2 linked regions of the Macaca mulatta genome follow. The protein of the gene in region 2 purifies or fractionates together with the protein of the main gene of each other region. This does not show direct contact. Links are inferred from orthologs where the notes say so. Each region holds a gene or a part of one and is shown on either strand. Other genes may lie near its edges. The genes, in order: WASF2 and CYFIP2.

Evidence for each region.
Region 1: the proteins of CYFIP2 (region 2) and WASF2 purify together in Homo sapiens (co-immunoprecipitation; 3 studies listed by BioGRID and IntAct, with this or other methods). This does not show direct contact. The link is inferred for Macaca mulatta from reciprocal best matches to the Homo sapiens genes CYFIP2 and WASF2.

Annotation. Positions count from the first base shown.
Region 1 is NC_133406.1:213,544,795-213,548,599, reverse strand, and holds part of WASF2 (actin-binding protein WASF2), read right to left. Parts: intron 2,657-3,805; coding exon 2,501-2,656; intron 1-2,500. UniProt on the Homo sapiens protein: Downstream effector molecule involved in the transmission of signals from tyrosine kinase receptors and small GTPases to the actin cytoskeleton. Promotes formation of actin filaments. Part of the WAVE complex that regulates lamellipodia formation.
Region 2 is NC_133411.1:166,135,401-166,139,944, reverse strand, and holds the start of CYFIP2 (cytoplasmic FMR1-interacting protein 2), read right to left. Parts: upstream 2,957-4,544; 5' UTR 2,843-2,956; exon of another isoform or gene 2,454-2,842; intron 1-2,453. UniProt on the Homo sapiens protein: Involved in T-cell adhesion and p53/TP53-dependent induction of apoptosis. Does not bind RNA. As component of the WAVE1 complex, required for BDNF-NTRK2 endocytic trafficking and signaling from early endosomes.

The sequences.
Region 1 (3,805 bases), on a different chromosome or scaffold from region 2:
AAAACCTACAGATGGTCAGAACAGACAAATAATGAAATAAGCAGCCTTGTAAGGTAATGAGCTTCCCACCAGTAGAGGAGGATAGCCAGATTGAGTAAAACTACCTGAAAGAAGTGGACTTGAGATTCCTCTATCAGGTAAGGGCTAGCTGAGACATCTCTCAGACCCCTCTGCCTTTCCAGCTCTAAGGGGAAGGCACCCTCCCTCCCTTTCTCTAAGAAGGATGGTCCATGGCAGTTGCTAATTTAATCCTGGAGCCAGGTTAAGGGTGCATGCAAGAAAGAACTGGAATAAAAATTCAAACACCACCCACACACTAGGCTCTGTTTCTCAGGCTATTAACATTCACCAGCATTGGAAAGGGCAGGAAACCCAAGCCAGGCTGACCACACCTGAGTGGGATATAGATTTAGGTGAATGCATCTTCAGTGCTCATGTGGGAAAATCTTGAGAGAGAATGAATCTCAATCTGAGAATCCGCAGAGATGGGAAATGAATGTGCCACCAGACTCTTGACCCAGGCCTGAAAGAGGATTACGGCTACACCTCTCCTGGGATCAGATTTGCTTGGCTGCAGCTGCAAGGTCTCAGGCCATGTGTGAAGCAGAAGGTTTTCTTTTTCCACCTTTGTATCTGCCCTGCACTAACAGCTACGCCTTAGAAAAGCAGCCATTTTGGAATTTTCCACAGACCTTCCAGTCTTAGCTGCATCTGACAGGGCCACCAGCAGGAAGTGATTTGGGAAGCAGGAGATTTGGGATTAATGGTTTCTAGGGCCAAGAAGAACGAGGGGAGAGGAGGAGGGCAGCACTGCTTTAGGTCTCCATCTGAGGGGTCCTCAACATATTCAATCTCTAATTAAGCAGTATCCAAGGAGAAAAGTGCATCTTTCAAAGCTCTCATTTATCAGGCATTAGAAGGGACAAAAGTAACGGAGAAAACAGTGCAATCTGAACAATTCTCAGATCTCTTTTCAGTCATTACTGCCTAACACTTCCATTGTACACCTCTGCCAGGGACACTGACAAATATAAAAATGGACGAATTTGGAGTTTCATCCCCCTTTTCCCTTTGTTTCATTGTTTCTGGAGATTCAACATAGCAGTGAAACTAACCAGCACTAAGAGAGGAAGTGACTCTATGCTAGGTTCCTAGACAACTGGGCAAGGTATCTGCTAACTATTTCCTGAAGAGCGGATTGTACCACTTCATTTCATGATGAGTTAAAGTTAAGGAAAAGGCCTGTGCGGCAGAGTGGCTCATGCCTGTAATCCCAGTCCTCTGGGAGGCCGAGACGGGCAGATCATGAGGTCAGGAAATCGAGACCATCCTGGCTAACACAGTGAAACCCCATCTCTACTAAAAATACAAACAATTAGCTGGGCGTGGTGGCGGGCGCCTGTAGTCTCAGCTACTCGCGAGGCTGAGGCAGGAGAATGGCATGAATTCGGGAGGCGCAGCTTACAGTGAGCCAAGATCACGCCACTGTACTCTAGCCTGGGTGACAGAGACTCTGTCTCAAATAAATAAATAGGGAGGCCGAGACGGGCGGATCACGAGGTCAGGAGATCGAGACCATCCTGGCTAACCCAGTGAAACCCTGTCTCTACTAAAAAAATACAAAAAAAAAAAAAAAAACTAGCCTGACAAGGTGGTGGGCGTTTGTAGTCCCAGCTACTCGGGAGGCTGAGGCAGGAGAATGGCGTAAACCCGGGAGGCGGAGCTTGCAGTGAGCTGAGATCTGGTCACTGCACTCCAGCCTGGGCGACAGAGCAAGACTCCGTCTCAAAAAAATAAAATAAATAAATAAATAAATAAATAAATGAATAAAGTTAAGGAAAAAACAAGAAAGAAGGTGGTAACTTCTATTTGTTTGGGTCTAGGCTAAACAGGAGTAGTTAAGAATATAGGTTCTGGAGTCCAACTGACCAATCATGGCTCTGCCCTTACTGGCTGTGACCTTTGGGTCATTTCATTGACTCCCCCTGTGCCTCAGTTTACTCATTATAACATGAGAATAACAGTACCTATCTCAAAAGAGGACTCCAATGGGAATGAAGCAACATATATATAGAGTGTTAATTATTTCTATGATCTAGACAGTCTTGTTTGAAGTTATTTTAGTGATCCTGACCTAGGGTTTTAACTCTTTTTTTTTTTTTTGGTCTTGCTCTGTCACTCAGGCTGGAGTGCAGTGGCATGATCATGGCTCACTGCAGCCTTAACCTCCCAGGCTCAAGCGATCCTCCTACCTCAGTCTCCTGAGTAGATGGGGCCACAGGCGTGTGCCACCAAGCCTGGCTAATTTTTTTGGTTTTTAGTAGGGATGAGGTCTTGCTATGTTAACCAGGCTGGTCTTGAACTTTTGGCCTCAAGAGATCCTCCCACCTTGGCCTCCCAAAATGCTGGGATTACAGGCATGAGCCACTGCTCTTGGTCCATCCTTTTGTTCTTGAGTGTATAACCACCGACAGTGGATGGAGTAGGTACCACCATTTACCTGAATTCTGCTGGTGGAGGAGGCAAGTTGTCCTCGGAGAAGGAAGGAGAAGGTGAAGAAGCAGAGTCTGACTGTGGTGGTGGCGGATAGCTACTTGCATCCACGTTTTCAACACAGCCAATGCTGCCATTCTGGTACACCAAGGTGGGTGGATACCTGTCAATGAACCGAATGCCAAAAACTGTCATTTAAAGAGCCTGAGTGGGTTTTTTCTTCTTAAAAGGTACTACAAAAATGCATTTGATACAAAAGCTATTAGGGAGAAATAAAATAGGTATATTTCCCACATATTTTCTGTTACACTGAAATTTTATTTTAAGACTAAATATTCTATTGTCAAATATATCCCAGATATTTCTGCTGAATTGTTTGTAGTAACAGGATTCAACCCAGATTATCAAAACTGCTCCTTGCCCAGTGTTGGCCTTGTCAAGCCCAGCAGTTCTTTTAAATTATCTCCCCAGTGTCAGGTGCAGATATACCTGAATCCCAAAGTCCTGTGGCAAAGGGTGAAGCCAAATCCCAGAGGCTAGTGAGCTGCAAACACGTGACTGGCACACAGCCTGATTTTGAGGTCAGCAAGCCTCTGGAAAGCTGGAAGGCCAAGGAGGCACTGGATTGCAAAATCAAGCTCCGGATGAATGCAGGGTGCTATGTGGTAGTAAATGTGGTCTTTCTGCCAGGTCTCTTATCAAACAAAATGAGCTGACGATTAAAGTAGGGTGCTAGGGCTTGCCTCATGAAAACCTGTCCCTCAGTGCACTGGGCCTTGGGTGAATTTGTTCTGGGTGAACAACAACAAAACTTCAAACAAGCACAAATACACCAAGCATCAGCTAACAAAATCTGGCCTGCTCTGCTCCACTTCCCCCTCTTTCCACTATTGTTGGGGTCTAAAGAACTCATCTAAAACAGACCCCAGGGAGAACAGAGTTGGAGGAAACTAACTGAATCAAAAGATGCTCTGATGTGGAAAATCCCCAAGGCCTGGAGCCCTGGAGCCTTGGCACGTCTCTTTATAGGTTCACCAACAGGCATGTCCAGATAGACTAACCATGAAGCCCCAACTCCAAACCGCCTGGACAACAGGAAAATGGGAGACAAATCCTCATCTTCCTACTCCACAAATAAAAGACACACATGGGTAGCTGGCATTCTGAACACACAAGCTTCTGGCCTTAGAGTCACTGAACCTATGACAAGTACCTGTCTGAACAGTGCTACTGACCCTAGCCCCACCCAATCAGTAGTGAAAAGGGGTCCATGGAACAAAATGGCCCCCTTTACTGGGAGGTGAAGGTAATG
Region 2 (4,544 bases):
TCTTAATGATTATGTAACGAATACATTATAACAATAAATATATAAATATGCTAGTACTTACTATGTGCTAAGCATTCTGCTCGGCACTTTCATGCACCCCTCGGGTAGTAAGAGCATCCAAAGATATACTAGTTCCTCCCCCGCCCCCATTCACTGCCTAGAAGGCAGCAGCCTGCCCCCCTCCTCCCACCATCTCACTACTGATGCAGGGGCCATCCCCTGGACCCTAGGCATGGCTTTGCTCCTCAGAATGACACGACCAAAGGCCTTTCATAAAGACTCCAGTGAGGTGACTGATGTCTGGCTTCGTCAATTACAAGTGAATAATTAATACTTGCCAGTAAAGAAATAGACTCATTGTTATGGTGGCCACCTGGAGGCTACAAAAGGCCATTTTGTGACACTCTTGGTGGACCCCTGGGGCCAACAGAGGTCCAAAGAAGCCGCCTTGAGAGTGTAGTCCAATCCTTAAACGTAGGGACTGGGGCCCGTACTGTTTTCCAGGAGCGCTTTTCCGTTAATTAGCTTGTTGCCTATTCATCTCATTCAGTTTTCTGGTCAATGACAGCAGCAGAGGCCCACTGAACATCAGAGAGGGCATGATTTATCAGAGGGGACATGTAGAGTTCTCCCAGGGCCTTTTACCAGTTTTTGAATTCATGTCTACTTCCTTCTCTGGGCCAGCATCTGATTTGAGTAAAATTCTCCAACCCCATTGGGTTGTACATTCGACTCTTGGCCTAATGCCTAAAGCAAGTTTTTCCTTTTTCATTTTTCAGCAGGGACTGAACAAGGCAGCCTTGGGTGCCTACAGAACCGGTCAGAACTGGCCAGGAAATATAATAAAGAAGCTTAGTGAGCAGAGAGCTAATGCCCCCAGCCAGAGGCTCAGTGTGTAGAACTATCTAGAGGCACTGACTTTGTAAGCAAACAACACTCTCTTCTTGAGGTCTAATAATTGCCTTGGCAAAGGGTAGCCAATGCCAACGAGGAACCCTGTGTACACAAGTTTCTCATCCTGAAAGTGGACACTGGGTGCTCAAAAAATGCCTTCCGGTGACAGTAACCCCTGACCAGTTAAACAAACATGCACTCATGCACACACATGCACACACACTCTTACAGCATTCCTGCCCCCAGGGCCAAAGCTGCCCTTGCCAAATACAGAGCTGACAGCTGCTAGATATTGTCATTTCAGGGACCTGTTCCCAAAAGAACTACCCAGCTCCCCACCTCCACTTCCAGCCCACTGTTTGAAATTCCACCATTAGCGATAGCAAATATTTCTACAGTGTTTCCCATTAAAGCTTTGTTTCCCATTAAAATGCCTCCATCCTCTGTTTATTTTCTGGTCAAATGACTTGTAAAGCACCTGCTCCGCATCAAATGCGAACTTCTTTTGTATTCAGCTCTTCAAGATAAACACAATCATTGGCTCCTTTCTTGAAAACAATTTCTGACACTGGAGACTGGGGGAAGAGCAGGGCACTGTATGGAAGTGGAGGTGGTAGGCCACCAGGAGGGCCACAAAGAGAGGGTCTAATGGTGGAGAAAGCAACCGTCAAGGCCTTCACAGACCTGCCCATAGATACGGACCTGATTTTTACCCTCTAAGATCTCAGGGACCCGGGTTGCTGGCACAGCCTGTATCCAAGAGAAAGGTGAGACCCACTGCCCTAACTGGGACACAGACAGGAGGCAGGAAATGGGAACACAGGAACCGACACTCTCCTGATTTGCCCCTCCTGCCAGCAGGACTGCCTCCGTCTCCCTGCCCATGCTGAGGGCACAGGCACCCAGGAACTAGCAGAAAAGGATCCTTGTCCCATTCTTGGCCTAGCTGGAAGGACAGCTGATGGCTCGTCGGGGCTGGTGAATGTTTCCACTGTGCTGGGGAAAGTAGGCAAGCAAAGGTCAAAATCAGATTCCCTGTGCTGGGGGGGCACCGGGGGGCTGTCAGTGTCCTTTCCAGCCGGGTTCTGGGTATAGAGGGCCATACTTCTGTGGACCATCCCCCATCCCCAAGCAGAGAGCACCTCCTCTTCTTTTGCACATAGGTGGGCTGTTCCTTGGGGTGACGGGTAGGGTTGTCTTGAAAAGCAGACGTCACAACAGACAGGTAAGCCTCTTCCTGGTTCCTCAGAGCTCAAGAAAAAACAATCTTTTCCCCCAGGAGTCAGCCCACTCATCCCCTTCCCCCACTTCCATCCTGCCCGCGGCCAGCCTGGAGAGCGATGCTAGTGTAGGCCAGAAAGCTTCCAAGCGGGTCAGACCTGCTTCTCTCTCATCAAAGCCCTCCGCCCCCAAACATCGCCGCTGCGCCCCTCGCCCCACCCATCACACGTTCTGTGTGCCCGAGGCGGCTGCCAGGCGGGCCCAGGCGGCTCTCGCTGGCCCTGGGGGAGGTGACGGTGGTCACAGAGGCAGAGGCAGGGGTCAGCGCTCTGCAGTACCTGGACCCGAGGATGTCGCCGCCGCCGGGCTCGCGGCCACCGCAGGTGTCTCCGGTCCCTGAGATTAGCACCGCCTCCTCCCGGGCTGGCGGCTCCGGCCCAGGCCGCGCACCTGCTGCTGCGGCTACCCCGCCGCTGCGCCGGAACTCCGCGATGTGCTCGCGCCTCCCGGGCAGAGGGTCGGTGCCGCGGGACGCACCGTGCGCCCGAGGGGGAAAGGGGCCGCGTGGGGCCTGAGGCCGGGCCTTGCGCTAGCCCGGGCGCAGCGCCGAGCGCCCCCCGCGGACCGGGAGAGGGGGCGGCCCTTCGCGCATCCTCACGGCCTCAACCCCGTCCCCGGCAGCATCCCGGTCCCCGTGCCCGGCCCAAGGCCTGCGAGCGCCGCTTACCTGGCTCTGCGGCGAGTTCAGGGGAGGGGCCCAAGGCTACCGCAGGGCCCCGCGCCGGGGCGCAGGATGCTCTGCCCCGCTCCGCTGCGCGGCGCTCGGCCCCGCCCCGACCCCGCCGCTCCGCCTGCCGCGGCTCCGCCCCCGCCCAGCGCCCGCCCCTTCTCTGCTGCGGCTGTCACACAAAGGGCAGGAAATGGCTGCGGCGAGGGGCTCTCGGCGCTCCCCGCTGTACCGCCGGCGCGCCCGGGACCTGCCCCTCGGGCTCAGAGGACAGCTCAGCACCCAGGCTTCCTGCCCTGGGGGCGGGAAAGGGAGGGAGGGCTTCTTCCACGGCCTCCATCACTAGGAACCACACCTGCAGCAACCCGAGAACGAGAGCTTCGGCCGCATTCGGATCTCTTTGGCCCCACATGATTTCCGAGTGCTCATTTATCAACCCAATCTTTATTGATTACCTATTCCGTTCCATGTACGGTGCCAGGACCTGGGTGTGCACTGGTGTACAAAAGACAGGGTCCCTGCCCCCGTGGAGTTTTATCACCTTCCAGGAGAGACGGGTGTACATTAACCCATCTAACGTCCAGTTACAGCCCAAAGTGCTGTGAGGAGAAGTAGCAGGGTCAAGTGACTGAAGATGCAACTGGGGCTAGGGGAGGGGGCCTTCCACCAGTTGAACCTGGACGCTGATGGGGCTTCTTCGCTCAAGAATAAGTTCTTCCCCTCCCTTCCAGTTCCCTGGAGAAGAGTCCCTGAAGCTGCCACCTCTTTAACAGGGGCCTGCCTCAACTTCATTCTGGAATTGCTTCACGGACAAATAGGCGACAGGAAGCACTGAAAGGACAGGTACCTTTCTCTTCAAGGCTTATCTGCCGTTACGGGCTCCTTAAAGAAGCGATTATCTGCCCACCGGTGGCTCACACCTGTAATACCAACACTTTAGTAGGCCGAGGAGAGAGGATCGCTTGAGCTCAGGAATTGGAGACCATCCTGGGCAACTCAACGAAACTTCATCTCTACTAAAAATTAAAAAAAAAAAAAAAAAAAAAAAAAAGATGGGTGTGGTGGCATGCACCTTTGGTCCCAGCTACCCAGGAGGCTGAGGTGGGAGGATTGCTTGAGCCTAGGAGATTGAGGCTACTGTGAGCTATGATCCCGCTGCTGCACTCCAGACTGGGTGACAGAGTGAGACTGTCTCACAAAAAAAAAAAAAAGAAAGAAAGAAAAAGAGAGAGAGAAGAGAAAGAACGAGAAAGAGAGAAAGAGGAGAAGAAAAGAAAGAAGAGAAAGAGAGAAAGGAAAGAGAGGAAAGAAAGAGAGAAAGAAACAATTCTCATTGAGATCCAGCCTGGTAGGCCTTCAGACCAGGCTGAAGTCAGGCTGCACCAAATTCTAACCTTGAGACACCTGAGCAGGTTACTTCACCACTCTGCTCCACAGAGGTCACCATATCTGCAACACAGGGAATGACGGTTGCCTTTTATACCTTACAGGGTAAACAATTTGAAAGCATTTAAGACATTGTGGAGTGTATGTAGACATAAGGAGTGGTTTCCTAGGGTCCACAAATTTATACTTAATCACTCAGCTATTCCTAATAAGGGCAATTTGTAGAGGAGCCCCGTTATTCAAGCTCCAGCAAAGGACTTGTAGAAGCCTTTGCTTGCCCTTACTGATCTCACCTTATTTCCCAAGTGCTCAGAAT